Linked DNA regions of Pelodiscus sinensis. The protein of the gene in region 1 interacts with the protein of each later gene in a pairwise test. Links are inferred from orthologs where the notes say so. Each region holds a gene or a part of one and is shown in the gene's direction. Other genes may lie near its edges. The genes, in order: EGFR, CFL1, PTPRA and EPS8.

Region 1 (7,803 bases):
ATTTACAATGGGGAGAGGGGAGACCTTGAACTGGGAGGGGGAGGAGCTACTCCTAGGAGGGTTGGCCCCTGCGACTGCTTCTGCGGGGGCAGACCTGCACATGGGGGGCAGGCCGCGTTGGTGCAGGCAACACGGGGAGGTGGGTAGGAGAGGCAGGGGCAGGAGGGACAGGAGCAGGAGGGGCCATTGCAGGAGGGGCAGGGACAGTGCTAGGGGAGGGATGGCGGGGGCATGGGGCAAGGCCATGCTATAGTGAATGGCATGGCCAATGCGTGACGTGAGGGTGGATATTGAATCCGCCTTGCGGACACACTGGGCCTGGAAGGAGCCCCAGGCCTCCTGGCGCCACTGCAGGCCCACCTCCACACGCCGAGTGATGGCTGCCTCGACGCGCTCGATGGCCTGCATGTGGCGCCGAAGGAGCTGATCCCAGTGGCGGAGCCGCCGCCTTGGTGGTTGGGCGGCTGTGGGTGCTGCTGCTGCCGCTGCCACAGGGCTTGAGGGTCCCTGGCTTGTACTTGGTCCCGTTGCAGGGAACAGAAGAAAGGATGGGTCAGTCAGGCAGCCCATCCACTGTCCCCACACCTCATGGTCTCCACCCCTGAGCCCAGGTGACACCACAGTAGTGTGCCTTGGGCCCACTCGGTTACTCCCCTTCCCCCCGTGTTGTATGTTTGCATACAGGACCGTCCCTGGAGTAGGGTCCTCCTCCATGTATTGTAACCACCGGTCTGTGTCCTGGCCCCTTGGAGGGTGGGAGGGATAGCCTTGAGCATAGATAGTGGCAGTACAAACTCAGAAATATAAAAATCTCTTGATTTGGACAGAGGCACATATTCTGTGTAAAGCAATATTGACTAAGGGATTTATGGTTACTAAGGCTTAACCCCAGTGCCCATCTGTATACCTTCCCAAATCTCCCTACATGCTGTTAGGCAAACAATTATTACCCGTGTGTATGTGAATATGTATCTGTCTATATCTATCTATATGCCTATATATCATGCTGCTTCCAGAGAAGATATTTTGTAAAATGTGGATCTTATATATACTAAGCTGCTTCACAGGAGAGTTGTGAAGAATAACTAGTTAATGTTTGAAAGTGTCAGGGACCACAGAAGTGCTATAAGTCATTTAATCATTTCTTACATTAAAATGCAAAATACGTCAAAGTACATTCTGTACAAACTCCAGCATAACACAGATGAAGTCTGAACAAATTAAAGATTAAATTCTTTCCAATCAATGCACCTTTATTTTTTCCTCTGCTCATAATAAAACCTTTCAAGTTCTCATTGTGGAACAAATCCTGTCACCATCCTTGTAAGAAGGCAATAGAACGCAAGGCACACCTATGCTTTGTAAGAGTGGAGGACCAAGCTGCAAGGACTCCATGCAACAAGATTCCACAATCCCTCTACCTACCATGGAATTGTTCTGAAGCTGCATTCTGTTCTGCAACACAGTCTGTGGGGGCAAGTGAGGTTAATTCCATCTCTGCTGTTGATGGGGATTGAGGAATTATGGAAATGTCAATTATTTCTTCCTATGCCATGTAGTAAGGGATGACAGCCCGCCTATTGAAACAACAAAAACCGTGGGACATTAGAATTCTGTTAGTCAGTCCTGTAGAGGCCTTTCAGGGTACATCTACACAGCAAGGCTAAGTCTAGACTGGCATGATTTTCCGCAAATGCTTTTAACGGAAAAGTTTTTCTGTTAAAAGCATTTGCGGAAAAGAGCGTCTAGATTGGCACGGATGCATTTGCGCAAAAGCACTTTTTGCGGAAAAGCGTCCGTGCCAATCTAGATGCAGTTTTGCACAAGAAAGCCCCGATCGCCATTTTTGCCATCGGGGCTTTTTTGCGCAAAACAGTTTTTACCTGTCTACACCGGCCCTCTTGCGCAAAAGCATTTGCACAAGGGGGCTTTTTCCCGAGTGGGAGCATCATAGTATTTGCGCAAGAACACTGACAATCTTACATTAGATCATCAGTGTTCTTGTGCAAATTCAAGTGGCCAGTGTAGACAGCTGACCAGTCTAGACACAGCCCAAAGCTAAAGTGGAATTAAACTACACAATTGCATAGCTTAAATTGAAATAGCTTAATTCGGCTTTTGGTGCTTCGACTTCCCTTACTACTCATGAAATGAGGGTTACCATGAGTCAGAGTAAGAAGTCCTCCATCTCAGCATTATTTCAAAATAAAAGCTTGTAGTTTAGACATGCACTACGTTTTTTCGAAATAATGTCAGTTATTCTGAAATAATGCTGCTGTGTAGACATACCCACATAGAACAGGTTCCTGTGTTTGAAACAGAGATATTATGTAAACTAACAATTTCAGCGATTGTTTGGTTATGTGAACAGGAGACATCTGCAGACCTGACAGCTTTGGTAGTTCCCAGTTGTGCTGCAGCATATGGTCTTCAGGTCTTGGTGTATCTTTATGTATCTTACTTTCTTGACTAGAAGAGTTCAGTTGTCAAGAATGTAATACATTCAAACTCAGTAGGATAGGGTAGGAAAAAATGATAGCTGTTTGCTGCAGAACTCCATAGTGTCAGTGCTAAAAGAGCCTTTTCCACTCTGAAAATGAGTTGAACATTTGCAGTAGGAGAAATGATAACTACAGTGGGAATTCCTAAAGGCTAGATCTATGCTGCACACCACTGGTGCTGGCATATAGGGTACGTGTAACTATATGCCGCAATGAAAAGCAACCTGCATATACTTTGTGGTGTGTAGCAATACATCAATGAAAGATAGCAGTAGGGGGGAAATAGCTGTGGCCAGGGAAAGGCTCTGGTGATGATGAACATTGGGAGCCTTTCCCTACCATCTCCTCCATGCCCTTTCCTTGCTGCTAGAGTCTTTCCATGTGATGGGAAAAATTCCACTATACAAAACAGAACTAAAAGTAGCCCTACAGATGTGGGAGATATTGCTTGGACATGTAGAGAAGTGAAGCTGTTTGTAGGATAGGTGCCCACAGGGTTCAGACATGTCTATACTCCACTCAGCAGTGCTTCCCCGTCTCCACTGCTATTCATGCACATACCAAAAGGATGTCTTACTCCACATGCCTCCATAAAGAGTGCGCAATGCTGACATATTTTCAGTTTAGGTCAGGAACGAGGTAAGAGATCACTCACTGTCAAATGGTCAGTTTCATACAAATTCAAATAGAAACGATGATTGACCATAGATAAAGTGTGTGTGTGTTGGTTTGTGGTTTATTTAGTTTTTGGTGAACTCTGTAAATGTCTGAGTCTATTGCATTCAGGAGGCTAACAGTATGCATTAAATAAATTATTCTTGCACTATCTTCAAGATCGTAGATACATTAGGCTTTACATTATACTTTTTTTCTTATGAGATGTGACAGACATCTCTCCCAGCACCTTTAATCTAGTACCCATCCTTCTTGTGCAATTTGCAATCTGTAATATATACTAAGGTTACCCCCACAGTGCTGCAAAGTTTATTTATGTTGACCTGGTGTGATTTTAAAAAATCCTATTTGTCTCTAATGAAAGCCAGACAATCCACCCACAATGTATCTGATAGTGTAATAGTATTTCCAGATGCACAAACTCAGTATGTTATACTAACCATCAAAAACCCACATAATTTAATGTGTTGTCCAAATGTGTGTGTGCGCATATATATGCTGGTTTGTACAAGGAAAATATTATAAAACAATTTTTTTCTTAATTCAGTATTCCTTAACCAAGCAACACAGGAACAGGAGCATACAATATAGCAAAAACCATTAGTTCCAAGTAGGATCAGTGCCCAAGGGACTATGAGTTATTGAGGGAGGAAAGGACACATAAAAATAATATAGTTAGACTCTTTTTTTCTACTCTCACAAACTCCATAGAGAGTTTTAATGATAAAATGCACACTGTGGGAACAGGATCGGTCCCATAGAAAGCAGTAGCAAAACTCCAAGCTCTAGTGCACTGTCGTAACTTTTTTAATCATTAACTTCGTCCGGTAATTATTTATTTTTCCCCCGGGAGGTCCTTCATAAAGCTCTCTTGGCATTTTTTAAAAAGTTCATTTCCAAATCTCTCCTTTGAAAGCAAAGGAGCGACTGACTGATTTTAGCCTCCCACTCCCGTCTCCCACAATTACTCCTTATCAGTCTTTTGCTTTCTGACAGAGTTGCTCGGGAACTGATTTCCACTCTCGCCTCCTCAAGAACGCAGGCGAGACTTCCCAGTTCGCTTTTGCCAGACATCCTCCCTCTCTCACACACACCCAGAGAGAAGGGCCGAGCCTGTGTTTACTTCCAGGAGGTGCGGAACGCAGGGGATTCCAGCAAAGTCAATGGGATTAGGCTACCTCCTGCGTAGCTGCGGCGATAGTCAAAGGGCGGGGGGGACGTGCAAGTGAGCAGGGCTCCAGTCCTCTCCCAGCCTTTCGCCCAGGGCTCAGCTCGCTCTGCCTCCGCCTGAGGAGCCCTGAGGCAAAGACCGTGCTCGATCCCTGCCCTTCCTAGGTACGAGGCCAAGGGCAGGGCTGCAAAGCTGCAGCCACAGCGAAGAGGGCGAGCTCCTCTTTAGCAAATGCTAAGGCGAGCGGCAGGCTGAGGGGACTGGGCAGGAACTAGGGACATTCGCTTAGCTCCCCCCAGGGCTCCCGGCCCAGGTGAGCGCCCCCCCCCAGCCCCTCACCTGGAACACGGGAGGGGGGAGGCGCCGCCAGGGTGTCTCCTCCTCCAGTCCCGCCCCTGCCCCGCCCCCTGCGCGGGGCGGGCGGATTCCCCAGAGGGAGCCCCTGAGCCTGCTGGCTGGCTGCGTGCGGGGAAAGTTTGGCTGCGAGCGGAGGAGTTGGGACAAGGGGGCGAGAGCGGAGCTGCCGCCTGCCCGAGCCAGCAGCGCCCTCCGCCCCGGGCGCGAGCAGCAGGGTCGCCGCCAGCAGCCCCCGGCACTTGCTCCGCCGCGCACGTGGGGCGGTGGGAGCCGCCGCCGCCGCCCTGGCAGCAGCAGCAGCAGCTCAGCATGGTCTGCAGAGCCGGGCAGCGCAGCTGAGCGCCGCCGGGACCAGGAGGGAGCCGCGACGAGCCCCGGGGATTGTTGCCCAGCCCAGCATGGGGGACTGGAGCCGCCGGCCGCGGGCAGCAGCCAGCGGGCACCTCCGGGCTGGGGGCGCCGCTGTCCTGGTGCTGCTCCTCTCCTGCGTCTGCCTCAGCGCCGCGGTGGAGAAGAAAGGTACCGCTCGCGCCCTGCTGCGCTGCCCGTGTGTTCGGGGGGAGCCCGCTGTCCCCAGGCTGGGGGGGGGTTAAACTTTCCCTCCGGCTCCGTAGCGCTGCGCTGTCCAGATGCCCTGACCGAGAGGGTGTCACTGGCGCGGCGTCCCATTGCCTGAGGCGGGGGCTTGCTTTCTCCTGGGAGGGGAGGGAGAGAAAATCCTGGGCACGTCCCTTGCCCTTTCCCCAGCCAGCACCGCGCGCTGCGATCCCCAGGTTGGCCCCTCGCAACCCGGCCCTCCGGAGCGCCCACCCCCCTTTGCGCCCCGCACGTGTAAACCCGGCAGCGCCCGAGGCGGGTCCTAGGCAGCCTGGCAAACGAAGTCCCTCCGTGCCCTTGTTCTCAGGGGCCTCTCCGAGGCGTCGCTGGGGGGTGCGGAGCCACGAGCGGAGAGGCAGTGACAGGCGGCTGGGTCGGTTTCACAAGCGCTGAGGCTTGTCCTATTGCCCGAGGCTTATTAACGTCTTCCTGGATGGGGGCGCATGGATGATTCACAGACCTGCCGGAGCCAAATAACTCGTGTACCAGGCGAGCCTCAGTTTTGGAACAACTGCAGGCAGGTTGGGCTCTTGGCTTGTGGTTCTCACCGGCTCCTGAGCCCTGTTGAGCTGAAATGCGCGCAGGGGGCACGTTGTGGGGTGACCAGTCTAAACAAATTGGCAAGTTTTGTGAATGGCCGGCGCGGCTTGTTTCTCACGGTCGGCTGCGCTGACTGTTTCTTGTCCTGTAGCCGTGTACTGACGCGGGCGTAGTGAGAACTGTTCAGCCTAGTTTGCAAGGTTTTAATACGTTAAGGAAGCAGTTTCAGTTTGGGGAAGAAAAAAAGTTTTTGGTTGGCCAAACTCTCTCTCTCCCCCCCCCCCCCCTTTTATAAGCTTCAAGGATAGGCAGCCAACTTCGGTTCCAGGCAAAATTGTCTTTATCTTGGGAATCCTCCAACAACAACACAATGCAGATTTTTGTTTAAAAAAAATTGAGAAAAGACCTAATAGTTTTAGAAAGTCTGTTAGAGGAGCGTTAGCATTTCGTGACTCCGAACAATCAAACCATCTTTGAAAAGTAGAAACACGCCTTTTCAGAAAGCTAATTGCACAATCTTGAAATCAAGAGGCACTCTGGTTCCAAGAAGCAAGCTCGTACCTGTTGCTGATGTAATTAGGGCAGGGTTTGGGGGCAGTTGACTCCCTTTGCTGTGATTGTGCAGCTCAGATAAAATTGTTTTGAAACACAGACTGAGTTTTACAATTTCTGCAAAATATTTTGATGCAAGGACAATACTAAAGCTTACAGCATTAAGAGGTAGCAATTATTGTATTGGTGTTACAGTCTCGGAGCCCTAGGTCTGACCAGGAAGGAGCCCATTCTATGATTATTTAATAAGCCAGTAGTAAAGAAATGATAGACAATAGCTTCACCACCCACACCTCGGTTATAATTAGTTGCCAGTGCCTTTTCACATCAGGAGAGTTAGACCTGTTGACCAAGACAGAAGTAGTGTATGTCATCTTCAAATTACACTGAGTTGCCTGATTGTTCTGTTTTTGCTGTATTTGTATGCTCATTAAAGGTGAGCAGCAGAAAAGTGCTTTTAGGTAGCATGCTCCTGCTTCAACAAATTAAATGATAAAATTCCCATTGGAGGCTATGATACAGGAAGAATCCTCACTGAAGAATCATCAAATAGTTATGTAGCACTTTAAAGACTAACAAAACATGTAGATGGTATCATGAGCTTTCATGGGCACAGCCCACTTCTTCAGATGAGCAGAGTGTTGGATGTCCAGGCCCAAAATAAATAGGGGAGAAGGGGGTGGGGATAGAAGAAGGAAAAAATGGGAGGGAGGAACAAGAAGAGGCAGTGGGTAAAAAATATCAAGGGGAAAGCTGAGCTGGAAGTTTTAAGTTTATCCTGGACAGACTAACTTGGATACCCGCTGAAGGTTCATAAAATAGTTCCACATTTTAACTTTTGCCTTCAAAGTAATAGGTGCATGATAGATCAGATCATCTTCATGACCCCAGAACCTGCCTCCATGTTTGGGTACATGGGATCCTTTTTTTGATACGATATATCACCAACTTGAGGGGCTGGAGGTGCATAAGCAATACAAACCAATGAAGTGCTACAGTAAACTAATATGAAGCATCTAAGAAATTTTAAGCTGTATATAGTTATGAGCATTCACATTTTAAAAATTTCACCTGAACTTAATGTCATTTCTTACTGTACAAAGAGATGATTTTTTTAAAGGACTCGGATACTAGTACAATGTTTGTTAGAATGCAAAATGTACAATTTTACATTTTGGTTTGAGTTGAGGTGACTTCAATACCATTTTTTTTAAAAATCTTTCTTTAAACATTGAGAATTAAAAACAAATTTAAATACAGCCGAGTGAAAACTAATCTTGGTTTTTTTTTTTTTTTTTAAAGAATCATCAACTTTCCCAAACCAAATCAGTGATACTAAACATTTTAACATACTGACAGATGAGAATCTGGCTCAGCCTCAGATCCATTGGTGTAAACACAGATTAATGC
Region 2 (7,968 bases), on another chromosome or scaffold:
GAAGTCTGGAGGTGTGCCCAATGTAGTGAATACAAGCAGAGAGAGGGTAAGTTTAGAAGATAGGATACACAAAGAACAAGTTAAAAATCACTTAGGAAAGTTAGATGTCAGCAAGTCACCAGGTCCTGATGAAATGCATCCCAGGATACTCAAGGAGCTGATAGAGGAGGTATCTGAGCCTTTAGCTATGATCTTTGAAAAATCATGGCAGACAGGGGAGATTCCAGAAGACTGGAAAAGGGCAAATATTGTGCCCATCTATAAAAAGGGGAATAAGAACAACCCAGGAAACTACAGACCGGTCAGTTTAACGTCTGTCCCAGGGAAGATAATGGAGCAGGTAATTAAGGAAATCATATGCAAACACTTGGAAGGTAATAAAGTGATAGGGAATAGCCAGCATGGGTTTGTGAAGAACAAGTCATGCCAAACTAATCTGATAGCTTTCTTTGATAAGATAACGAGCCTTGTGGATAAGGGAGAAGCGGTGGATGTCATATACCTAGACTTTAGTAAGGCATTTGATACGGTCTCGCATGATATTCTTATTGATAAACTAGGCAAATATAACGTAGATAGGGCCACGATAAGGTGGGTGCATAATTGGCTGGATAACCGTAGTCAGAGAGTTGTTGTTAACGGTTCTAAATCCTGCTGGAAAGGGATAACAAGTGGAGTTCCTCAAGGGTCTGTTTTGGGACCCGTACTGTTCAATATCTTCATCAATGATGTAGATATTGGGATAGAGAGTACGCTTATTAAGTTTGCAGATGATACCAAACTGGGTGGGGTTGCGACTTCTTTGGAGGATAGGGACATAATTCAAAATGACCTTAGCAAGTTAGAGAAATGGTCAGAGGTAAACAGGATGAGGTTTAATAAAGAGAAATGCAAAGTGCTCCACTTAGGAAGGAACAATCAGTTCCATACATACAAGATGGGAAGCGACTGTCTAGGAAGGAGCATGGCGGAAAGGGATCTAGGGGTCATAGTGGACCACAAGTTGAATATGAGTCAATAGTGTGATGCTGTTGCAAAAAAAGCAAATATGATTCTAGGTTGTATCAACAGGTGTGTTGTAAGCAAAACTCGTGAAGTCATTCTGCCGCTCTACTCTGCACTAGTTAGGCCTCAGCTGGAGTACTGTGTCCAGTTCTGGGCGCCACATTTCAAGAAAGATGTGGAGAAATTGGAAAGGGTCCAGAGAAGAGCGACAAGAATGATTAAAGGTTTAGAGAACATGACCTATGAAGCCAGGCTTCATGAACTGGGCTTGTTTAGTTTGGAAAAAAGAAGATTAAGGGGGGACATGATAGCGGTTTTCAAATATCTAAAAGGGTGTCACAAGGAGGAAGGAGAAAATTTGTTCCTCTTGGTTTCTGAGGACAGGACAAGGAGTAATGGGCTCAAAGTGCAGCAGGGGAGGTTTAGATTGGACATTAGGAAAAAATTCCTAACTGTCAGGGTGGTCAAATATTGGAATAAATTGCCAAGGGAGGTGGTGGAATCTCCCTCTCTGGAGATATTTAAGAACAGGTTAGATAGACATCTGTCAGGGATGGTCTAGACAGAGGCTTGGTCCTGCCTTGAGGGCGGGGGGCTGGACTCGATGACCTCTCGAGGTCCCTTCCAGTCCTATGATTCTATGATTCTATACTGAACAATTGCTGACTTTCTCATTTTTGCCATACAATTTAATTGGAATGTAAATATTGTACTTACATTTCAGTGGTTGGTATATAGAGCAGTATAAACAAGTCATTGTATGAAATTTTCATTTGTACTGACTTTGCTAGTGCTTTCTATGTAGCCTGCTGTAAAACTAGGCAAATATCTAGATGAGTTGCTATACCCCCTGGAAGATCTCCCAGGATACATGTCCGCTGCTAAAGGGTTTTTAGACTGGCTGGTAAGAGGTTAAGGGAAGCAGCAGAATATGTGTGACAAGAAGGATGTACATATTGGCGAGTAGATTTATGATACAGCTGGAGCCTTCAAGGCAGGGTGACCATATTTCCCAAAGGACAGAGTATGGGCCTAGACTAAGTGCCTCCCCAGACTCCCCTCCCAGGACTGGCCCAAGCTGCTGGTTCAAGCACATGTGAATACATCCCCATGGTGCTGGCTGGGGCTCCTCACCCAAGCTGCCTTCCCCTTGCACACAGCTGGGGCTAGCTGGGGTGATGGCTTGTCCAAACCCTGCCCACCTCCTCCATGGCTGCTTGTTTGAGCCCTGACTCCTCCCCAGTGTGCACAGCTGTGGTGGCTGCCCACCTGAGCCCTGCCTCCCGCTCACACACCATGCACAGCTGGGGTTGGTGCTGGCTCACCCAAGCCCTGCCTGCTTTCCCAGACATGGACCAGGTGGCTGCACACCCAAGCCCTGTGCACAGCTGGGGTGGCTGCTTGCCTGAGCCCTGCCTCCCACCCACATGGGGGCTGGCATTGCTGCTCATTCCTCTGCACATTTCTCTCCACTGTTTTTGACAGAAGTGGACTTTTGTCTTGTTTGCTCTTGGCAACTGATCAAGTCAGCAACAGCAAATGGGACAAATGCCCGCTTTTGCCAAAAAATGGCTGGGGAAGGGCTTAAAATGGTTCTGTCCCAGCCAAAACAGCCACCCTACTTCAAGGGGTCATGCTGAGAAAGGAGGGGAACCAACCTCCCCCACCATGGGAACCACTGTCCTGGCTTCATATCATCCTTCCTCTCCAGCTGTCCCCAACCCACTGGGCTGTCATACTCCCCCCCACTCCACACACACACAGGTGGTTGATTTGATCTGTGGAGGGGATAATCTTGGAGCATTTAGTTAATACTTTGAGATAGATATTCTTCTGCCTGGAGACAGCCCTACCCCTCCTCAGTACTTGCCCAGCTTTGAGACTCAGCCGCCTGAGGTGGGGCACAGGACCTGTTTATACAAGGATTCCCTCCTTATTTCTGAGACACAGTGTCCTCTGAGGTGATGCACAGGGCATGTTAATGCTGGGTTTACTGGCATAGCAAGCTGAGCACTGGTTTTGGGGAGAGCACTCTTTGCTGAGTCATGCAGGATGCCTGGAATGGCAGCATGGAGAGAGAGGTTTGGCATTGCCTCCAAGCACCCTATCCCAGGCTACGTCTAGACTGGCATGATTTTCCAAAAATGCTTTTAACGGAAAAGTTTTCCGTTAAAAGCATTTTCGGAAAAGCACGTCTAGATTGGCAGGACACTTTTCCGCAAAAGCACTTTTTGTGGAAAAGCATCCATGGCCAATCTAGACGCAGTTTTCCGCAAAAAAGCCCCGATCGCCATTTTTGTGATTGGTGCTTTTTTTGCAGAAAACACTACTGTGCTGTCTACACTGGCCCTTTTGTGCAAAAGTCTTTCGGAAAAAGACTTTTGCCTGAACGGGAGCAGCATAGTATTTCCGGAAAAGCACTGATGATCTTACATGAGATCGTCAGTGCTTTTCCGGAAATTCAAGCGGCCAGTGTAGGCAGCTGGCAAGTTTTTCCGCAAAATCATGTGATTTTGCGGAAAAACTTGCCAGTCTAGACACAGCCCCATTGTTTACTCTGGAGCATAATGGTCCACTACTTATGATATGTAACTTGTGCTTGGGCTTTGGCTCAGAGAATGGGAGCAACAGAAGGCATGTCTTTAAGAGATATAATAACCAGAGGCTCTTGTACCTTTGGATAAGGAGGGTGGTCACTTGGCTGTCAACTTACCATAGTGTGAGGGAGTCACCCAAAACATTTTCAACCCTACCAGGTAAAATGTATAGAGTTATTCTTAGATAAACTATCCTGTGGTAGATGCCAACCCCAGCTGTTAAAAAAATCAGGAGCCACACTTAACAAAAATCATGAGATTATGTAAGAATAATAGCTTGGGGGGGAGGATTTTGCTTTTTTGAGCCTTTAGGATGCACCGGGGTCACATTTTGAAGCTTTCACCACATCAAGAGAGCTAGAAATTCATTTTTCTTTGAGAACTGAAGGCTGAAAGCACCGCAGATTCACTTGAGTCCAGGAGCTGCAGCTTTAGAGAAAACAATCAAGATCATGAGGAAATAATGAGTGAGAAAGCAGGGGTCTGCGCAGAAGCAAAGGAAACGACTAGGAAGGGGACAAGGCGAAGGATTCCGTGTAGCTAAGGATCACACCTCAATGCGTTGGGTAGGTGGGGGGGGGGGGGGCTTCCTCTTGTGTGCCCTAAATGTCCTTATAAGGAGAGGACGCTGCAGGAGGCGGGGCCTTTTTCTGTGCAGCTGGTTCACGCCCTTATTTGGAAGCGACGCAAGGAGAGGAAGGACAGCGCCACAATGGAAGGGGGCGGGGTCACGGCACGGCTCAGCCAATCAGCAGCCGGTCTTCGGAGTCTGCTGCCCTAGAGCCTGTGGCCGCCTGCGCTCAGTACAAGCCGACCTGGGCGCTACCTGTGCTGCGTTGCGCCGCCCCGCTCACGGACACCCTGATTAATACAAAGGCTGTTTTATCTCCAGGCGCGGTTCCAAGCCGCAGCTTGGACGTCGGCCTCAGGGAGGCTCCCAATGCCAAGCCCCTTGGCTGCACTCCCGGGGCTCGGCTCCCACTCCCGGCCCGCTCTGCACCCAGAGCCAGGGGGAACTCAGGCGTGAGGGCTGCCCGCAGCCCAGCGCCCTGCAGGCGAGGGGCGGTGGTGATCAAACGACGTGTCCTACTATTTCGTGGGGGGGGGGGTCTGTTACCCATGATGCACTGCACGCAACTGCAGGGCACCCGCACTGGGGTGTTGCAGACGCGGCAGCGTCTCCCTGATCCCAGGACTACATCGCCCATGACTCCCCTGCCGATGTCTCCCGTGGCTCTCCTTCGCTCGTGCCATTTCCCCGCGCTTTGCGGCTCTTTCCCGGCGGCGGGCACGGATTCCTTTTCTCTGCGTGCCCCGCGGCGCGGACTCTATTTCCCTGCATGCTTCGTGGCCGGCGCCGCCCGGAAGTGCCCCCTCCCCCATAAAGCGGAAGTGGGCGGCCGGTAGGCTCGGGGCGGGGCGATATTTGGTACCGTTATCTCTTGAGAGAGGAGCTGCAGTATAACGGACACCGCGCAGCCCGGACCGCGATCCCCCTGCCCGCAGCACCATGGTAGGACCCCGGCCCGCCGCCGCCATCTTATGGCCCACGCCCGCCATCTTGCCTTTGGGGCGCCTACGGGAGCCATAGGGGATGGGGGAGCCTGGCGTACCCGCCACCCTCTGTAGGGGGCGCCTGTAAGAGCGATCGGGGGCCCCGCTGTCGGCTCCAGGGCAGGAATCTGCTCTCGCCCGTGGGGCAGGTGGGGCGCTGCTCTGTTCTGGGTTTCTATGAATGGGATCTGCAAGGGGAGCCTCTCCCCGTATGGGGTCTATAGGCGGCTGTATGCTCCCTTCTGCGTCGGAAGGCCCCTGTAGGATCCATGGGCGAGGGGTTTCCTCCACCCCCTATGGAAGGTACCCCTGGGTTTCATGGGGGGGGACCTCCTCCTTTTTCCTGTATGGGGTTGGGATCGGCATCCCTATGAGAGGATTTTATAGGCTTTTTATGCGGCCTGTTTTGGCCATTTCCCTTATAGGTGCAAGTGTAGCAGGATGCTGATGATGCACCTCTGAGTGAGTCCCATGTGGGCCTGGCCCCTTCTCCTATTCTCTAATGCGGGATGGGCTAGGTATTGCTCTCTTTCTTGAGGCATGTTGTTCCGGGGCTGCTATTGCATCAGAGTGCGGGATGGCAATGGGAGATCCCCTAAAACATGGGGTTTGAGGCTTGCCAGCTCCCCTTTGATCCATCTCTTCTGCCTGATGCCCTATGTGTATGGGATCCTGTGACTTCAGGGCTCCCCATGTCTGCAACAGTTGAGCTTTCTATCCCAGGCCTTGCCATGGTACAGATGGCCTTTGGTGTGCCAAATTTTGGGTATCCCCTGCTGGGGATGTTGGCTGGATGTAGGAGTGGCTGGAGATATCTTTGGGCCATAAGAGGTACTTCTGACATTAACATCTGAGTCTAAGATGAAACTATTTTGTGCTCCACATTGTCCTAGCTCCCCCCAGATCAGCCAATCCAGTGTCCTGCTCTCAACTGCCTCGCTCAGTTTCTGCTCCCCACCATTACCCTTTGATAATGCCATGATGGTGGGCAAGCGTGCTGCTCTGCAAAATGTCTGATTCTCTCTGCCTTGTGCTCCCAGCCCTGGTTCTCCCACCTTGCATTGGCCAAACCTGCTTCACCTAGTGCCAGCAAGGAGCTCTCATGGTGCTTAGCGCTCTGAACTGTCTGAGCGGTGGGAGTGTTCCCTTGCAGCCTGTAGAGCCCTCCCACGCGGAGGACAAAGATGCTAGGGGGATGGGGAAGGGGAGTGGTGCTTGGTTAGCCTAATACCCAGGCTCCTAGCATTGCCTGGCTGGGGATTAGTGGTGAGCAAAACTTGGGGTGGAGGGTACAGGAGAATCGGGGGGGGGGGGGGGAGAGAGAAGGGTGATCAGCAAGACCTGTGAATAGTCTCATTTCTTTGGTAGAGCCAATAGCACTGACTACTTAGGTCTTTGCCATGGATTCAAACGGGGCTTCTGGGCTAGGGAACAAAAGCCCTTTAGCCTCCTATGGGCCCACTCAATTAGGAGGCTTCGGGGGGAGGGGGGAGCTATCCTGGCTGCATCAGCCTTGCTGCAGGAGGGAAGATATTGACTACAGTATCTAGGCCTAGGCTGGGGGATCTGATGATTCTCTCACTGGTCCGTGTTCTGAGCCCTGCATTGTCCCCATGTCCCTTTCATCTCCTCCCAGAAGCGGCTGCTGGAGCACAGTGGCTTGTGCTTCCCCTGAAGCAGCCTCCCTTCTCCATATAAGAGCATATCACCCTGCTGATTTGCCGGGCCCCTCTGCTGAAGCCAGACTCAGCTGACTGGCTGGCTGGGGATCTTGGCTGGACCTTTGGTCATCCAGGGAGACCTGGGCTGGGACTTGCATGGAGCACTGAGTGGTTAGAATTTGGGGTGCCTCCAGCTACTCAGATTGGCCCCTGTGCTGTCAGGCAGTGGAGTGCGAAGTGCTATGTCAGTGCCCCAAATAACAAGGCTCTCGGTCTTAAGGTGTCTAATGGGGGGTGGGGAAAAGGGGTGGACTCAGTGTCAAGTGCTGTGCTCTGAGTACCAGGCCAGGAAGGAGGGTGGAGGCTGGCTTTACTGCACCAAGAGACAGACTGGCAGTTGTCTTGGTGGTGGTGTGGGGAGGGGTAGCTAGTGGAAGAAGGCTGGGGTTAAATGGGGAGGATGAGTGGGAGGTAGGGCACAGGGTGAACAGGGACTATGGGGTAAAAGTTGTAGAGGGGTGATTAGTCTCCTCTTGAGGTGAATGGGGGCTGGTGCTATGCTGTGTGGGAAGGGCCCGGGCTGCTGGCTGGTGATGGGGAAGCAGCGGGCACAGCCTCCTGCAGAGGTCATGTGTAGTGCTGTTTCCTGCATGGGGTTTCGGGTTCCCTTGCAGCGCCTGTCCTGGGTGCTTGTGTAAGGCACTGATGCAGAGCTTTCCATTGAGCGCTCTTGTAGTTGGGGTCTATTTGGTTTGCTGCGGGCCCTTGGAGTGTGTCTTCTCTGGTCCTGCTTGTGTAAGCTGCAACTCTGCATCTTGCCCGATTCCCTCTGTGCTCCAAAGCCCATGGCAGCTGCTGGGTTAAATCTGCTGGGTCCATTGGCTTGGTACCTGGTGAAACAAGTAGCCCCCGAGACCTCGTGGTGGGGGCAATGGTTGGATTACCCCAATAATCCCCCTTTGCAAGGCTTCCCTTGTGACGAGCTGCCCTTTGGAGCTAGGAAACCCCTGTCTCTTGCTTGTGGCTGCTGGGAATTGATGTGTGGTGGGGCTGGCATCCCAGTAATGGGCACCTCATTGACCAACCTTTAGAGGTTTCCCCAGCTCCTAATTCCCCCTCTTCCCCCACAGGCATCTGGCGTAGCAGTTTCT
Region 3 (7,069 bases), on another chromosome or scaffold:
CATCTTATTACAAACTTCACACCACACACTATGGAATCTCTCAAACTCTTGTGACCAAGAAGGAATGAGTTTTAGGATCAGAACATGCTTGCCTGCGTAACCCACGGGATTAGTTACACTGAAGTCACTGGGCTAGACCTCTAAGTCAGAGGTGGGGAACCTAAGGCCCATGGGACAGATGCAGCTTCTGGTTTGCCTGGATCCAGCCCGCAAGGCTCCGGGCTCCCCCTGGGAACCTGTCCTGGTGCTACAGCCCCCTACCATTATCCTTCATGGGGCCGGAGCACACAAAATCCACTAGCCTGGACCCACAGGCTCTTTGTAGACAGCTCCTTCTGGCACAAGAGCCTCTTCTGCAAAAATGGTGGCTCATTAGGTATGCAAATGAGGCTTGGCGATATTCCACGCTTAGCCTCATTTGCATATTTCTGGCACAAGAAGCTGCGAGTGTAGACATAGCCTTTTGAGTTTTGTTGTTCACTTTAAGGGAAGAAAAGCAAAGCCACTGACCTGCCTGATCATGGCGAACCCACTGAAATCACAGGAGTGGTGAGTGTTTAGCACTGCCCAGAGCCAAGCCCCTGAGTTGGATTTCAGGTGGTATTTTAGAGGTGAAAAAATCAGCATCTCATTAGCAATCTTCTTGAGCTATATCATTTCTCTGCACCCCTCCGTGTTGCCAGCTTTGAAATATGTGATTTCCCCCCTCGACACTGCAGCTCATGGAGTAAAACAACAAGTAGTACTGTAGCCCTCCAGGGTATGTCTACACTGCCACCCTAGTTCGAACTAGGGTGGCTAATGTAGGCATTCGAAGTTGCAAATGAAGTCCGGGATTTAAATATCCCAGGCTTCATTTGCATCTTGCCGGGCGCCGCCATAAGTTTTCCGTTAAAAGCATTTTTGGAAAAGAGCATCTAGATTGTCATGGACGCTTTTCCGCAAAAGCACATTTGCGGAAAAGTGTCTGTGGCCAATCTAGACGCGCTTTTGCGCAAAAAAGCCCCGATCGCCATTTTCGCAATCGGGGCTTTTTTGCGCAAAACAAATCTCAGCTGTCTACACTGGCTCTTTTGCGCAAAAGAGTATTAAAAGTCCAGATTCAAGAATAAATAAGGGAAGGGAGCGGGGAAGGAGAAAAAAAGAGAAAAAAGACAGTGAATAGATTGTTTGAGTAGTTATAAGAGGACAATTAGCACCTTTATTGTTTGGTTGCTTGGTTAAGTCATTAGGATGTGGAAGGTAGTGTGCGAGCCAGCCAATATCTCTGTTCATTCCATTCTGATAAGAATTAAACTTGTAAATGAAGTTAAGTTTCAACCCTTCCCTGTGTACTTGGCTTGTGCAATTGGATTGAAACAACATAGTGACTTGGAGATCCATTAATGAGTGCCCAGGCAAATTAAAGTGTTCTCCAACACGTTTCTGTGTGTTGACTTTTCAGAGATCTGATTTGTGTCCATTAATTCTTTCCCATAGAGACTGTCCAGTTTGGCCAATATTCATGGCAGTGGGGCATTGCTGGCAGTTGATGGCATAGATCACATTAATGGTTGTGCAGTTAAATGAGCCCCTAATATCATTAGCTCACAGACATTTACCTCTCCCCCCATCCCCCTTCTGTTCTGAATTAATTATCTTACCATTACAAAGATAGCTTCCCCAATTATCACCTTTAATATCATTAGCTCACAGACATTTATCTCCCTCCCCATCCTCTTTCTGTTCTGAAATTTGATTTGTCCTTTTCATATGTGTTCATTTTTTTAAATTGTATCCTTTGGTATATATGGTTGTGACAATTTTCTTTCACTATTTGATCTGAGGAAGTGGGTCTGGCCCACAAAAGCTCATCACCTAATAAACCATCTTGTTAGTCTTTAAAGTGCTACATAGTCCTGTTTTTTGTTTCAGCTATACCAGACTAACATGGCTACATTTCTATCACTATTCTACTGGAAAGAATTTGTTTGTTAGGGGGTTGTCTGTAGGCGAGGATTGGCCTTTACTCCAAGGTAGGGCCGGCCCACAACATTTTGGCACCTGAGGTGGGGAGCTCAAATGATGCCCCCATGTCCCCTTGCTTGGGCCAAAACTTTGAAAGGTCTCAATTCTGCCTTTTTCCTGTTCTACTCCTCTCATGGCACTGCTCTGCTACCTACATATGCACCAGCAGTAGACACAATTTTCTACACTCTGGGTCCTAGTGGCACCCCTCCCCCACAATCCGGAATCTGAGGCAGCCACCTCAGTTTGCCTCATGGTAAGGCCAGTCCTGCCCCAAGGCCTGTGAGAGTAAGGAGTCATTTTTTCAGGATAGATTGTTGATTGTGCATTCATAGAATCATAGAATAGAATCATAGAATACTAGGACTGGAAGGGACCTCGAGAGGTCATCGAGTCCAGTCCCCTGCCCTCCTGGCAGGACCCAATACTGTCTAGACCATCCCTGATAGACATTTATCTAACCCACTCTTAAATATTTCCAGAGATGGAGATTCCACAACCTCCCTGGGCAATTTATTCCAGTGTTTGACCACCCTGACAGTTAGGAACCTTTGGAGGGGTTTAAATTGTAGGCTGTAGGTGATGACAAGTATCTTGGGTAGCAGATAGAAAACTGCCGGTTGGGGATTAGGGGGGGTGTTAGTGTAAATTTGGTCCTGGGCAGCAGACTATTTGTTGTTTTTTAAGTTTTCTAGTTACAGACTAACTTGGCTACCCTTCTGAAGCTTTTGTGTATATATATATAAACCCACTTCTCTAATCTGAAGAAGTGGCTTTTGTCCTCAAAAGCTCATGATACTATATATATTTTTGTTACTCTCTAAGGTGCTACAATACCACTTATTTTTTAAAAAGTTACAGACTAACACAGCTACCCTTTTGAGGCTCTTGGAGTAATGTGAGCAAGAAAGAATTTCAGCTTTAATGTTTTAAAAATAACTTTCTAGCCTTCAGGGCTGCAGAGCTTGAAAATGTGAAGCCTAAAACTCCAAAACCAGAAAATGAAAAAGTATCCAAACTGTCTGACTTTTTGAGGCAGTCTGACCATTTTTATACAGTTGGGGTTGATAGTACTGATAGTTGAATCCAAAAGTGTGTGACATAAAAAACCCCTCAAATATATTCATGTTATAGGAAAATGTCCTTTTAAAAGCCATTTTCATTATTGTCAGGACTCGATTCATTATTTTTTAATGCTGGGGTGTGGGGTATAGAGATCTATTGCATGTACCACTGTATAAACACAAAGTAGAAGCCAGTCTCTGTCCTGAAGAGTTTACAGTAATGACAACATGCAACAACTGGTAGGAAAACAATAAGATAATGGGTTTGGCAAGAAAATCTGTTAAGCATATTGTTTGAATAGACACTCTTATTGTTCCCTGTTGTTTTAGAGTGGTACCAGCTGCATCATTGAACACCCAAGATTTACAAATTCATCTGTGGGTTTTGCCCACAAAAGCTCATGATACTACATATATATTTATGTATTTCTAAGGAGTCACAGGACTACCCGTTGAGACTAAACTGGGTTTGCTATCAAGCAAAAGAGGCAGAGCTACATAAACATTTAAAACTGAGTCCGTAAATAACTTCCAAGCACATTTTGGAGGCTTATGCCATTTGCCATTCCACATACCTCTCTACAATACTACAAGGGTGTCACTAGGTGGTGCGATAGAGCTTATGCATTGGGGCTCTTCTCCCTGGGCACCTTGGATTCAATTTATAGCACGTAAAAATTAGTGCAGTGTACACTCATGATGGTCTGGAACACAGTTCAGAAAACTATCAGTTTCAATTTGAAGGACACCTGGCCCAAGGACAGGTGGGGGAAGGTGAGGAGGTTTGAGGAGAACTGAGATAACTATCTTAGGGACCTGGGTCTGGATCAACAGTGTGTTGTAAGTTGGGATCAAGGAGCCTGTAAACCCAGGGCTGGGTGGAGATCCATGAGTGGAACAACAGGAGGTATTAATTATAGGTCACTTCTGTGGTGCATTGGTAGATGGGAAGGGAGTCCAGGATTAAACAGAGTGAGCCATGCGTCAGGATTGGGATGCATAGGCCAAGTCATGTGTGGGTGCTCAGGACATGGGGCGGGGAGGAAGTGGAACTCAGCACTAGAGAGCACGGGAAGTGTTGAATGTGTGCCCAGCACTGGAAAGAAGGAGGCTGTAAGTACGGTGGGATGCGAGCAGAGCTCTGTGGGTGCCCAGCAGTGGCGTAGCAGGGGGCTGTTAGGCTGGTCTATGGGGGTATCCAGCCCTGGAACGGCAGGGGGCTGTGGGTGGGCAGCAGGGCACGGCTCTGGGATTGTAGCGAGCGGGGGCCAGGAGGGGGTGCACTGGCAGGGCTCTGGGGGGGGGGTGGCTCTGCCTAGGATTGCTGGGGCTCAGCCTGGGGCACTGGCATTTCGGGGCGCTGGGGGTGCCCAGCAGTGGGATTCCAGGGAGGGGGGGGTCAGGCTATGGGTGCCCCCCCCCCGGCCGAAGCGTGCACGGTGCGGAGCTCGCGCCCTGGCGATGCGGCGACCCTGCGGTCAGAACGCAGCAGCCTGCGCGCGCCAGCGCTGAGCCTCCCCCCCCACTCATCGGCACGCGCCGGCGTGGAGTCCGAAGACCCTACCGCGGCCGGCCGCCCGCTCTCCACCCTGGGCGCCCCGCCGGCGGCCAATCAGCGCGAGCGTCTGATGGGCCAATGGCAGGGCGGCTTACGGCGGCGCGTGCCCCCCCCCCCCCCCCTCCCCTCCGAGAAGGAGGCACCGCGCGCGGCAGAGCGGAAGCGGCCCTGCGGCGGGGACGCGGTGCGGGAACTTTCCTCCTCAGGCGCCGCCGCCCGCCGGCCTGTCAGCCCGTCCGTCCGTCGCGCGCCGCGCATGGGGCGGCCCCACGGCGGGGAGGCTGCGGGGGCGCCGAGCCCCGCGGCGGGGCGCTGAGGCGGGGCGCTCCCCCCTCCCCACCCCGGGGTAAATGCCCTGGCCCCACGGGCCGCTGCGGAGCCACTCGCCGCGCAGGGTGAGTGAGAGAGCGCGCGCGGGGAGGGGGGGGCAGCTCCAACCGCCAAGGCCTGCCAGGAGGGGCGGGGCTGGGGGGCGGCTGGCGGCGCGCGGGCAGGTCCGCGCAGCCCGCCCCTCACCGGGGTTTCGAGGCCTCGCCCGTGCCCGCCCAACGGTCCGCGAGCCTGGCGCGAGCCACGCACCGCCCCGCCCGCCGCCCGGGGAGGGTGCCCTGCCTGCACCGCAGAGCCCCCCGTGCTGGCGTGAGGCGGGGTCTGACTCCGCACGCAGCGGGGCCGCTGTTGGGCTTTGCGCCGCCCGGAGGGGCTTGTCTCTGCCTCCCTACCGGTGTCACCGCCAGGTTCGGTAGGGGTCGCCGTTCCTGCTCTTCAATCCATAAAGCTGGGTTGGCGTCTCCTCACGGTGGTGCCCCAAACCTCCAGTGGCTTTCACAAGAATGGGCCGGAACTTCGGAGCCCGGGCCTGGAAAGCATCAGAGGGGTCGCCGTGTTAGTCTGACTCTGCAAAAGCGGCGAGGAGTCCTGTGGCGCCTTAGAGACTCACTGAAGTGTAGGAGCGTAAGCGTTCGTGGGCAAAAACCCACTTGTCTCATGCATCTGACGAAGTGTAGGAGCATAAGCTTTCTGGGCAAAGACCCGCTTCTTCTCATGCATCTGACAAAGTGGGTCTTGAAGTGTAGGAGCGTAAGCTTTCGTGCTCTAAGACCCGCTTCTTCTCATGCATCTGACAAAGTGGGTCTTAGAGCACGAAAGCTTACGCTCCTACACTTCAAGACCCACTTTGTCAGATGCATGAGAAGAAGCGGGTCTTTGCCCAGAAAGCTTATGCTCCTACACTTCGTCAGATGCATGAGACAAGTGGGTCTTCGAAGTGTAGGAGCATAAGCTTTCTGGGCAAAGACCCGCTTCTTCTCATGCATCTGACAAAGTGGGTCTTGAAGTGTAGGAGCGTAAGCTTTCGTGGTCTAAGACCCACTTTGTCAGATGCAAAATGCAGGACTATGTAGCACTTTAAAGACTAACAAGATGGTTTATTAGATGATGAGCTTTCGTGGGCCAGACCCACTTCCTCAGATCAAATAGTGGAATAAAGTAGTCACAACCATATATACCAAAGGATACAATTAAAAAAAGAATAAAATTAAAATTGTATCCTTTGGTATATATGGTTGTGACTACTTTATTCCACTATTTGATCTGAGGAAGTGGGTCTGGCCCACAAAAGCTCATCATCTAATAAACCATCTTGTTAGTCTTTAAAGTGCTACATAGTCCTGCATTTTGCTTCAACTACCCCAGACTAACACGGCTACATTTCTATCACTATTCTACATTTGTCAGATGCATGAGACAAGTGGGTCTTTGCCCATGAAAGCTTATGCTCCTACACTTCGTCAGAAGCATGAGACAAGACCCACTTGTCTCATGCATCTGACAAATGTAGGAGACAAGTGGGTCTTTGCCCATGAAAGCTTATGCTCCTACACTTCGTCAGAAGCATGAGACAAGACCCACTTGTCTCATGCATCTGACAAAGTGGGTCTTAGACCACGAAAGCTTACGCTCCTACACTTCAAGACCCACTTTGTCAGATGCATGAGACGAAGTGGGTCTTTGCCCAGAAAGCTTATGCTCCTACACTTCAGTTAGTCTTTAAGGTGCCACAGGACTCCTCGCCGCCAATCCTGGAAACTGCTCTATATACTCGCTCTGGGTGTGTCTAGGCTACAGCGTTTTGTCGATAAAAGTGGACTTTTGTCGACAAAGGTCTACTGGCATCTACACTGCCGCTGAGTTCTGTGGACGGAACTCAGCCGTTTTGTCGATGGCTGTAAACCTCATTCTACGAGGAATAACGCCTTTTGTCAACAGAGTTCTGTCAACAGAAGGCATTATTGAATCTACACTGTCCTTTGCGTCCACACTGTCATGTGGACAAAGCGGCGTGCGTCTTTGACAGAACTGGATGTAGTCTAGATGCTCTTGTTCGAAAGTATGTCAACAAAACTTCTGTCAACAAAAGCCTGTAGTCTAGACATAACCA
Region 4 (7,260 bases), on another chromosome or scaffold:
GTAAGTGCGGATCCGACATAAGTCGGATCCGCGTAACTCGGGGACTGCCTGTACTTACCAGAGGGAGAGACATTTGCCAAAATTAGATGAAAGGTTGCTGCAATAACCAGGCTTTTGAGGGAAGGGTGGATGAAAAGTAGGCAAAATAGGTTCTCTCGAGAGCTCCGAGAACTCTTCACCTCACACCCATGCCAGCTCCCTCTTTGTTTTTTAGAAAAAAATGCAGTATGTATGTAGATAGAATGGGACTTAAAGAAATCATTGCTATGGTATTTGTATTCCTTATTTATTGGAACTGTTTCATAGGCTGACTTTATCCAGATTTAAATACATTTGTTTATTTGAAGTTCATCACTTCGAACTACATCTCATGATGAACGCGATCACTTTTAAAAGGGATGGCGATTGGCAGTAGTGGTTCGCAGTCATGTTTTAATTGAACCCACATGCCAGTGACCCTCTAGAACTGAAAGTTTGACTGTTAAGACTCTGGTTGTACTACATGTGTGCTCTGGCACTGTTAAAATATTACTCCTCTTTGCAGGTCAAAGGAAATTCTGATGAACTTGAGCAGGCATTAGGGATGCTGCCATTTTCTCCTCCTTGGCACAAAATGGAATTTTTGCTTTTACAGTATGAGGGGACAGCTGTACTAAATCACTCCCCCTCCCCCATATGTTGTATTCTTATTATATGGGTATGCCCTGGTATCTGGGCTGCAATAGCAACTCAAAGTAACTTTTTTAGAGACTACATCTCATGCTCTCTACTTGTCTTTCATCCTGGCCCTTAAGCGATCCCATATAAAGTTTGTCTGCCTGTGGTATCCTACATTAGATTAATATTCTTCAGAGACTAAGCTAAAGCAATAAAATTGGTTTACTTAAAACTGGATTGTAGAAGAAATGTGGCTTCTTTTCTGCTCCAAGCCACATGAGCCATGTCTTGTTTTCATTCAAAACTGTTAGGGGAATGAAATGTTTCTGCGGAGGCTACTTCACAATTTTATTTGAAGCAACCTTTGATTAAAACAAATGGCCAAATGAACATAGTGCACAGCGATGGCAGTAAGCGCCTTGCACAAATACTTTCATATAAAAGGGTTAGAATAATCAATAATTGACTTGTTAGGTGGCATAATAGATTCTAGAAAGAAAATTGTATCTAAACCTGTTGAAAGACAATTGCGGACGAGTCCAACGGGCAAAGTGATACCACTCCCAAGGCCTTGGTAGGAGGTGTAGGGGTGTGTGTGTGTGCGTGTGCTCGCATGCACGCGCCTCTCCCCCCATACCCTTTGGATAAGAGAGCTTATGTACAACAATCAGGTTTTTTTGAGGGGGAGGCAGCAAATATTTATTTTCATAATTTCACTTTTTTAAAAAGCTGGTTTTGAACAAGCAATTGTTAAATAATCCCTTCTGTACAAAATTCTTTATATATCAGTAATGGGATAGAAAGCCTTTTTATTTTTAGGTTGCTAGTTCAATTTCCAACTAGGAGCCCAATTCTGTATACAGAGCTCTATGCAGGTGTAAGTCTCTGCCAGAGCTCCCAGATCCTAGCCCAACAGGGATAGGAAAATATGCTTTGGTTTATATGGCCTGTGACAGTGTTGAAAGCTAACCGATATCCCAGCACTCTGGTCACTTAAGCTGATTATTTGCCCCCCAGAGAAGACTTGATTTAGGAATGAAGGACTTAATTACCTTAATCAGAATGTGAACTAAGATGGTTAGAAAGCACTGGAAGAAAGTGCAGAATGGGAAATGCTAGCAGAACTGAAGGAGCAAGCTGAGCACTCTCCATGGAGAGTGGGCTGACATCTGAAGAACGTTGTAGACAGAACTGTTGCTTGGACTGTGACGATAGTGGTAATATTAATAAACTACATAGAGGTGATAAACAAGTACAAAACTGTCTGGGATCACAGGACATGAGTGGAGCCTACGCTTTGCATGGTCTTGTCCACGCTAAGTAAATCAGTACCTCATTTTAAAGCAATGCTCTAATCTCTAATCTACGCTGGGTTCTCAAGCTGCTTTTTTTGGTTGGTCACTTTGTAATGAAAACCTGAGCTGGTTTCCAAGACCAGCGGTAAAATCACCATATTACAATCTCAGGGGCAGCTGCACCATTGCTGAAAAATGGATACTAATATTCCTAGTGGAGCTGCATCCCATAGTTGTCAATTTGGCAGCTGTCATCAACACTAAATCCATTGGAGCCAAAAAAAAAGGGAAAAATTAGTTGACTCTTTGCATTTCTGGATTGTATGCCAGGTAAATTAGTACAATCAAACCAATATTTTAAATCAAAGTGCCTAATTTGTACATTTCAGGGATTTTTAAAAATTATATAAGAGCAGCATCTCCGAGCATATATATATTGGCATGTATTTTGCTGTGTACCTGACAAAAAACTCCATGTTAATATGCTTCCATTTAGAGGAGAAAAATCATGCAGAGTGTATACAATGTTATACATAAAAGAAATTTTTGCAGTTGGACTGGATTTTTTCTACAGCTGACTCTGCTTTGCTGCTTTGATCCAATATTTCAACAGGGTTCAAATACAGTTATTAAGTGTCACACATTTTAACGTCCACTTAAAAGATCTGTATTATATATATAGAATTGGTAAATTAGTTGCAGATGCAGCGTAATTTTCCTTGACTACACAGTCTAATTTATTAAGAGATAAGTGTTTGTGTTTTGTTTCGAGATGGACTTTGAACTCTTCTTCCTTATTGGGTAGAATTTTCGGAACATGTCCTAAATGAACTCTCCAATTTTTAAGAAGAAGCTTCACATACAACCTCCGTGTTTTAATGGAGGTGTCACTGGTCTATGTGCATAAACCTTCTAGCACGGGGGGGCATGTTATAAGGAGCTTCATGGCACAGTGAAAGGCACAAAAATTCCCACTTCCTTCTACAAGTTGGGAGTTGGTTATATGATAGAATTTCCATATTTGGAGGCTGAGAGAGTGTACAACTGTGGCCTACTTATAAATTCTTCTGTGTTTTTCAAAAATCAGTGTGAAGAGAGATGCTATGCAAAAGTCACTCAGCGGGGGCACTGTCAAACATCCATTTAAAGAGCGTATCTGTCTCTAATAAACAGTATTATGAATGAGACTCTCGGTTTCTTGTCTGATCCATGTTATTTTTGGACATTTAGAATATGTCGTCACTGCATAGCTATTTCGGGATACCGAAGGTATCCCGAAATAGCTACCCCACATCTTCACAAGCCGCCCGTTCGAAATAACGAGCACTCTATTTTGGCATTCTGGCAACCATGCTTCCACGAAGGTTAAGGGATGTCTCCAAATAGGCTATTTCAAAATTTGGTATGTCTACACAGTGCCAAATTTTGAAATAACATGCTATTTCAAAATTCAATCAAAATAAGATTCGCAATCTCCATAGCTCAGATTGCGTATCTTATTTCAAGTTCAGGGTGCTTTGTAGACCCACCTTTAGTGATTTTTAGCTGTGTAGAGATTATATGAATTTATCTCTTTTGGCAATCCTTTTTTAGCACAAGTGAGGTTGCAGGATAGTGGTAAAAACTGGCTTCCTTATCAAGCAAGGCCAATGCTCCATCAGAGCTACGTGCCAGGGCAGTTTCAATATGGTCTCTTAGGAAGAGTAAATGGCTTAATTTTGGACAGTTGAATCAAAATAGCAACATGTCCATAAAAAGGAGTGAACAAAATCAACAATAAAGCATGAGCATGCGCATGAACTCCAGTGCTTGTCTTTGTAAACCATTCAGCTGAGAGGAGCTAACTAGAAAGCAAATGTTTTTAATGAAAAATTTTGAACAAATTTGTCCCCTCCTCTGGCAAATATTTTTAAAGTGAAATTTTTCATCCAGATATACCTTTGAACTTCCCAGGGCATCTTGTCTGCTTTGTCTCCTTTGATTTGATTGTGTGCGTGTGCTCTGTAGGATGCGGATTTATACAGTGCCAAGTACTCTGTCATGCTTAAGAAATAATGTTGAATGCAAAGTCTGGAAGATCCTCTTATAGACTTATTTAATGAGTTCCTGTAATATATTGCATATTCAGAAAATGCTGTGCTAATTATCAATAGTTAAAACTGTTAAAATGTGCTGAAAACACATTACAAACTTTTATTAAGGTTAAAAACATTGTAATACAGCCTTTAAATTTAAATATAGCTTATTTGAAAATGTGAATTGTCTTGAAATTGAAAAAAAAATTCCTTTAGGCAGCGTCGTGTAACCTGTGAAGAGGAGGGCAGGGAAAAAGCCAGGATTCCTGGATTCCATTTCTGTTGCTGTTACTAATTCATTGTGTGTACCTGCACTCTAAGACAATTTCTCAGTTCATCAAAATTAGCAGGTTGGTGAGATGAAATTATAAACCATAGTGTTTGTAAAACTCACTTTGATCCTACAATAAATGATTGACTTATGTAATACAAAGTATTAGTAATTATATATTAAATCAAAAAAGTAAAAACATCCTATGTTTCTGGTGCCTAGTATTTTCATAAGTTCATGATGTAAGTTCACTATAAGGTTGAACTGAGTTTTTTTTCCTTGCAAGTTTTAAAAGAGAAATAAACTTAAATCCACATAAATGAGGGAAAATTCCAACATTACCTATCCCCCATCATGACCTTAACAGAAGGGATACATGTTTGTTGAACTGCAATGAGTCTGCAGTTCAAAAAACTAGTCCTTTTACAAAACCGTTTGGTTGTTTAATGTGTGAAATTCTAAATTTTTCTATTGTACTTTAAATATATCCTAATAAATGTACTTTAAAGGCATGCTCCTAGAAGTGCAAAAACTATGAAACAATAAGATGTGATCTGTTTTAATTAAAAAGTCATGTAATTTCTGGTAATCTCAGCAGTTCTTGGGGGGGGGTGAGTTTAAATGTGAATTATAATGGTCTTTTGAATGAAAGTGTAATAGGCAGCAAATGACTTTGTAGTTTGTCAACAAATAGTACTGTTTCTTAGTTCACATTCTGATGGTGATAGAGTATTATAGGATGAACCTCTCTAGTCCAGTACCCTGGGGACCTGACTGGTGCCAAACCAGAGAATTTGCTGAACCGTAGGAGGTCAATATTGTCTAGCAGCATCACCTACACTTCCAGTGCTTGCTGGGTTTTTAGAAGTCGTGTAGGGGTGAATTAGAGCTAAATAAGAGCACAGATAAGTGGATCAGTGTAACTAAAATCATGCCGGACCATAGATATTGCTGGATTAGAGAGGTTCAACCTGTGTATTAACTCAGTTTGTATTATCACTTTTTATAACAGAAGCTGAAACTTTTTGCCAGCATTTGAAAACAAGAAAATTCCTTCCTGTGCTGTATTTATCTTGAAATTCTTCAGAGCAGGTTGGTCTATGTTATACATAAATATGTAGTCTGTATTCATAACATTCAGGATTCTTTAAAAGCATTAAGAGCTTCTTATGCCATTTACTTGCCCTCTCCCTCAGTTTTTCCAGAAATAATTAAGATAGTAAAATGATGGACTCATTATGCTGTTCCCCAACCATAATGCTCACATACTGATCTGTAACATTTAGGAAAATATCAGCTAACTCCGTCTTCCAAAAAGTGACCTTACCCATAGCCAGGGAATATGAGAGCAAGAGGTGCTTAAACATGTGTCATTCCATCTTTTCTTGACTAGAAACTTGAAAGTGTTTGGCCGTGTCTTTAGTGAATGTCAATTGGAACAACTGACAGTCAATTGACGTGAAATTTCCTGCAACATTCTTTGCAGAACTGGTGACACCTTGCTGGGTGAAATGTCACTGTTCTCAAATATCTGTGTATGTATGTATAAAAGGCACTGAGTGTGCAGAATTACAGAAACAGTCTCGTTAAGTGCAGCCCAACCTGCCGTGCTTGCCAGGATGGAAAATCTCCCCAACCAGCAGCCAGCGCAGGGAGTAATGGGAGGAGAAGGGGAGCAAAGTGGCTCAGTGATCTGGTACCTCCTTGAAGTTGGCACCCAAGGCAACTGTCCTGCCTACAACAAGCCCTTGTTATTAGAGATGTTAAAGGTTAAACAGTTACCCGATAAACATATGCCTTACCAGCATGTTTACTGGGTAACTGGGGGGGCTCACTATCCAGAGCAGCATCCTGACCAGCAAGGCCCCAGTAGCTCTGGATGCCAGGGCTGATGCAGTCCACAAAACCGGAGAAGCCCCCATCCTATAGTGCAATCGGGCTGGAGCAGCCCCCTGCCTGTGGCCAGTGGTTAACTGGTTAAACAAACAATTTACTGGTTAACTCTTTTGGACAATTTTTACATCCCCGTGGGTTGTATTGTATCATACCATGTAATAGTCAGTGCAGATGTATACATTCAGCCAGCTAAAGGTAATGTGTACATTTGTATTGTCAGTCATTTTATTTCTTTCCCTGTAAAATTGAATTGGGCAATGCAAATATGTGAAAGTGAAGAGGACCACTAATTAAGTAAAAGGTTAAAATGGCCAGCTGGAAATGGAGTCGTTGCATGTGGTAATTTGTTGGTGAATCCCCACTGTTGGGGGAAGAGGGAGAGGAGAAGCCATTACAGATTGTCGCTCAGTTGGCATCATTATGTCTGCTAAATTTTATTAACTGTTGTAGCTGGTGAATTTGCCATGGACTTTGCATTGAATAAAGATAGGCCCAGATCCCTTGGCCCCATGTTCAGCAGTTTGCTCTGCCAGGCAATGTAAAGTAGCTGGATACCTGGCTTATGAGGCACCTAGGGATGTCCTTGAAATAAAGACTCTTCAGTTTGCATATAGCAGGCAAGGCAAGATGGGGTATGGCCACAATGTGTTATATTTTACTACTCCCCAGACACTATTGGTGCTGATGTAACTTAGAGCAGCTGAATGGTAGATATACGCTTAGGTCAGAGACCAAACCTGCACCCTGGATTCTGTGCCAAATGTAGCTCCAGTATAAGTCTGGGATCTTGTCCATAATATTAGAAAGCTGTTGTTTGATCTAGAGTTTTTGGAGTTTGTAGACTCGGGATTTGTCAACAAACGGTGATCTATCTGGTTTAATAGTAGCTAGTGCTCAGTCACCATCTGATTCTGTGCTTGCGAACACATTGAACAAGAGCAAGAGTCTTATGATCACCATATAAAATGGGCACCAGGCACTATAGTGCTACTTCTGCATATCGATTTATATGGTTAGCACCAGGTAGATAGTTCTGACATCTTTTTAGGGAAAAGGGAACTCTGGT

The links.
Region 2: the proteins of EGFR (region 1) and CFL1 interact in binary tests that used the Homo sapiens proteins (3 or more experiments, as listed by UniProt). The link is inferred for Pelodiscus sinensis from reciprocal best matches to the Homo sapiens genes EGFR and CFL1.
Region 3: the proteins of EGFR (region 1) and PTPRA interact in binary tests that used the Homo sapiens proteins (3 or more experiments, as listed by UniProt). The link is inferred for Pelodiscus sinensis from reciprocal best matches to the Homo sapiens genes EGFR and PTPRA.
Region 4: the proteins of EGFR (region 1) and EPS8 interact in binary tests that used the Homo sapiens proteins (3 or more experiments, as listed by UniProt). The link is inferred for Pelodiscus sinensis from reciprocal best matches to the Homo sapiens genes EGFR and EPS8.

What each region holds. Positions count from the first base shown.
Region 1 is NC_134712.1:164,042,537-164,050,339, forward strand, and holds the start of EGFR (epidermal growth factor receptor), read left to right. Parts: upstream 1-4,794; 5' UTR 4,795-5,102; coding exon 5,103-5,223; intron 5,224-7,803. UniProt on the Homo sapiens protein: Receptor tyrosine kinase binding ligands of the EGF family and activating several signaling cascades to convert extracellular cues into appropriate cellular responses.
Region 2 is NC_134721.1:32,569,222-32,577,189, forward strand, and holds the start of CFL1 (cofilin-1), read left to right. Parts: upstream 1-4,956; 5' UTR 4,957-5,112; coding exon 5,113-5,115; intron 5,116-5,581; exon of another isoform or gene 5,582-5,618; intron 5,619-7,947; coding exon 7,948-7,968.
Region 3 is NC_134715.1:128,431,612-128,438,680, forward strand, and holds the start of PTPRA (receptor-type tyrosine-protein phosphatase alpha), read left to right. Parts: upstream 1-4,067; 5' UTR 4,068-4,082; coding exon 4,083-4,184; intron 4,185-4,766; exon of another isoform or gene 4,767-4,979; coding exon of another isoform or gene 4,980-5,024; intron 5,025-7,069. UniProt on the Homo sapiens protein: Tyrosine protein phosphatase which is involved in integrin-mediated focal adhesion formation.
Region 4 is NC_134711.1:112,321,680-112,328,939, reverse strand, and holds the start of EPS8 (epidermal growth factor receptor kinase substrate 8), read left to right. Parts: upstream 1-4,243; 5' UTR 4,244-4,377; intron 4,378-5,310; 5' UTR 5,311-5,390; intron 5,391-7,260. UniProt on the Homo sapiens protein: Signaling adapter that controls various cellular protrusions by regulating actin cytoskeleton dynamics and architecture. Depending on its association with other signal transducers, can regulate different processes.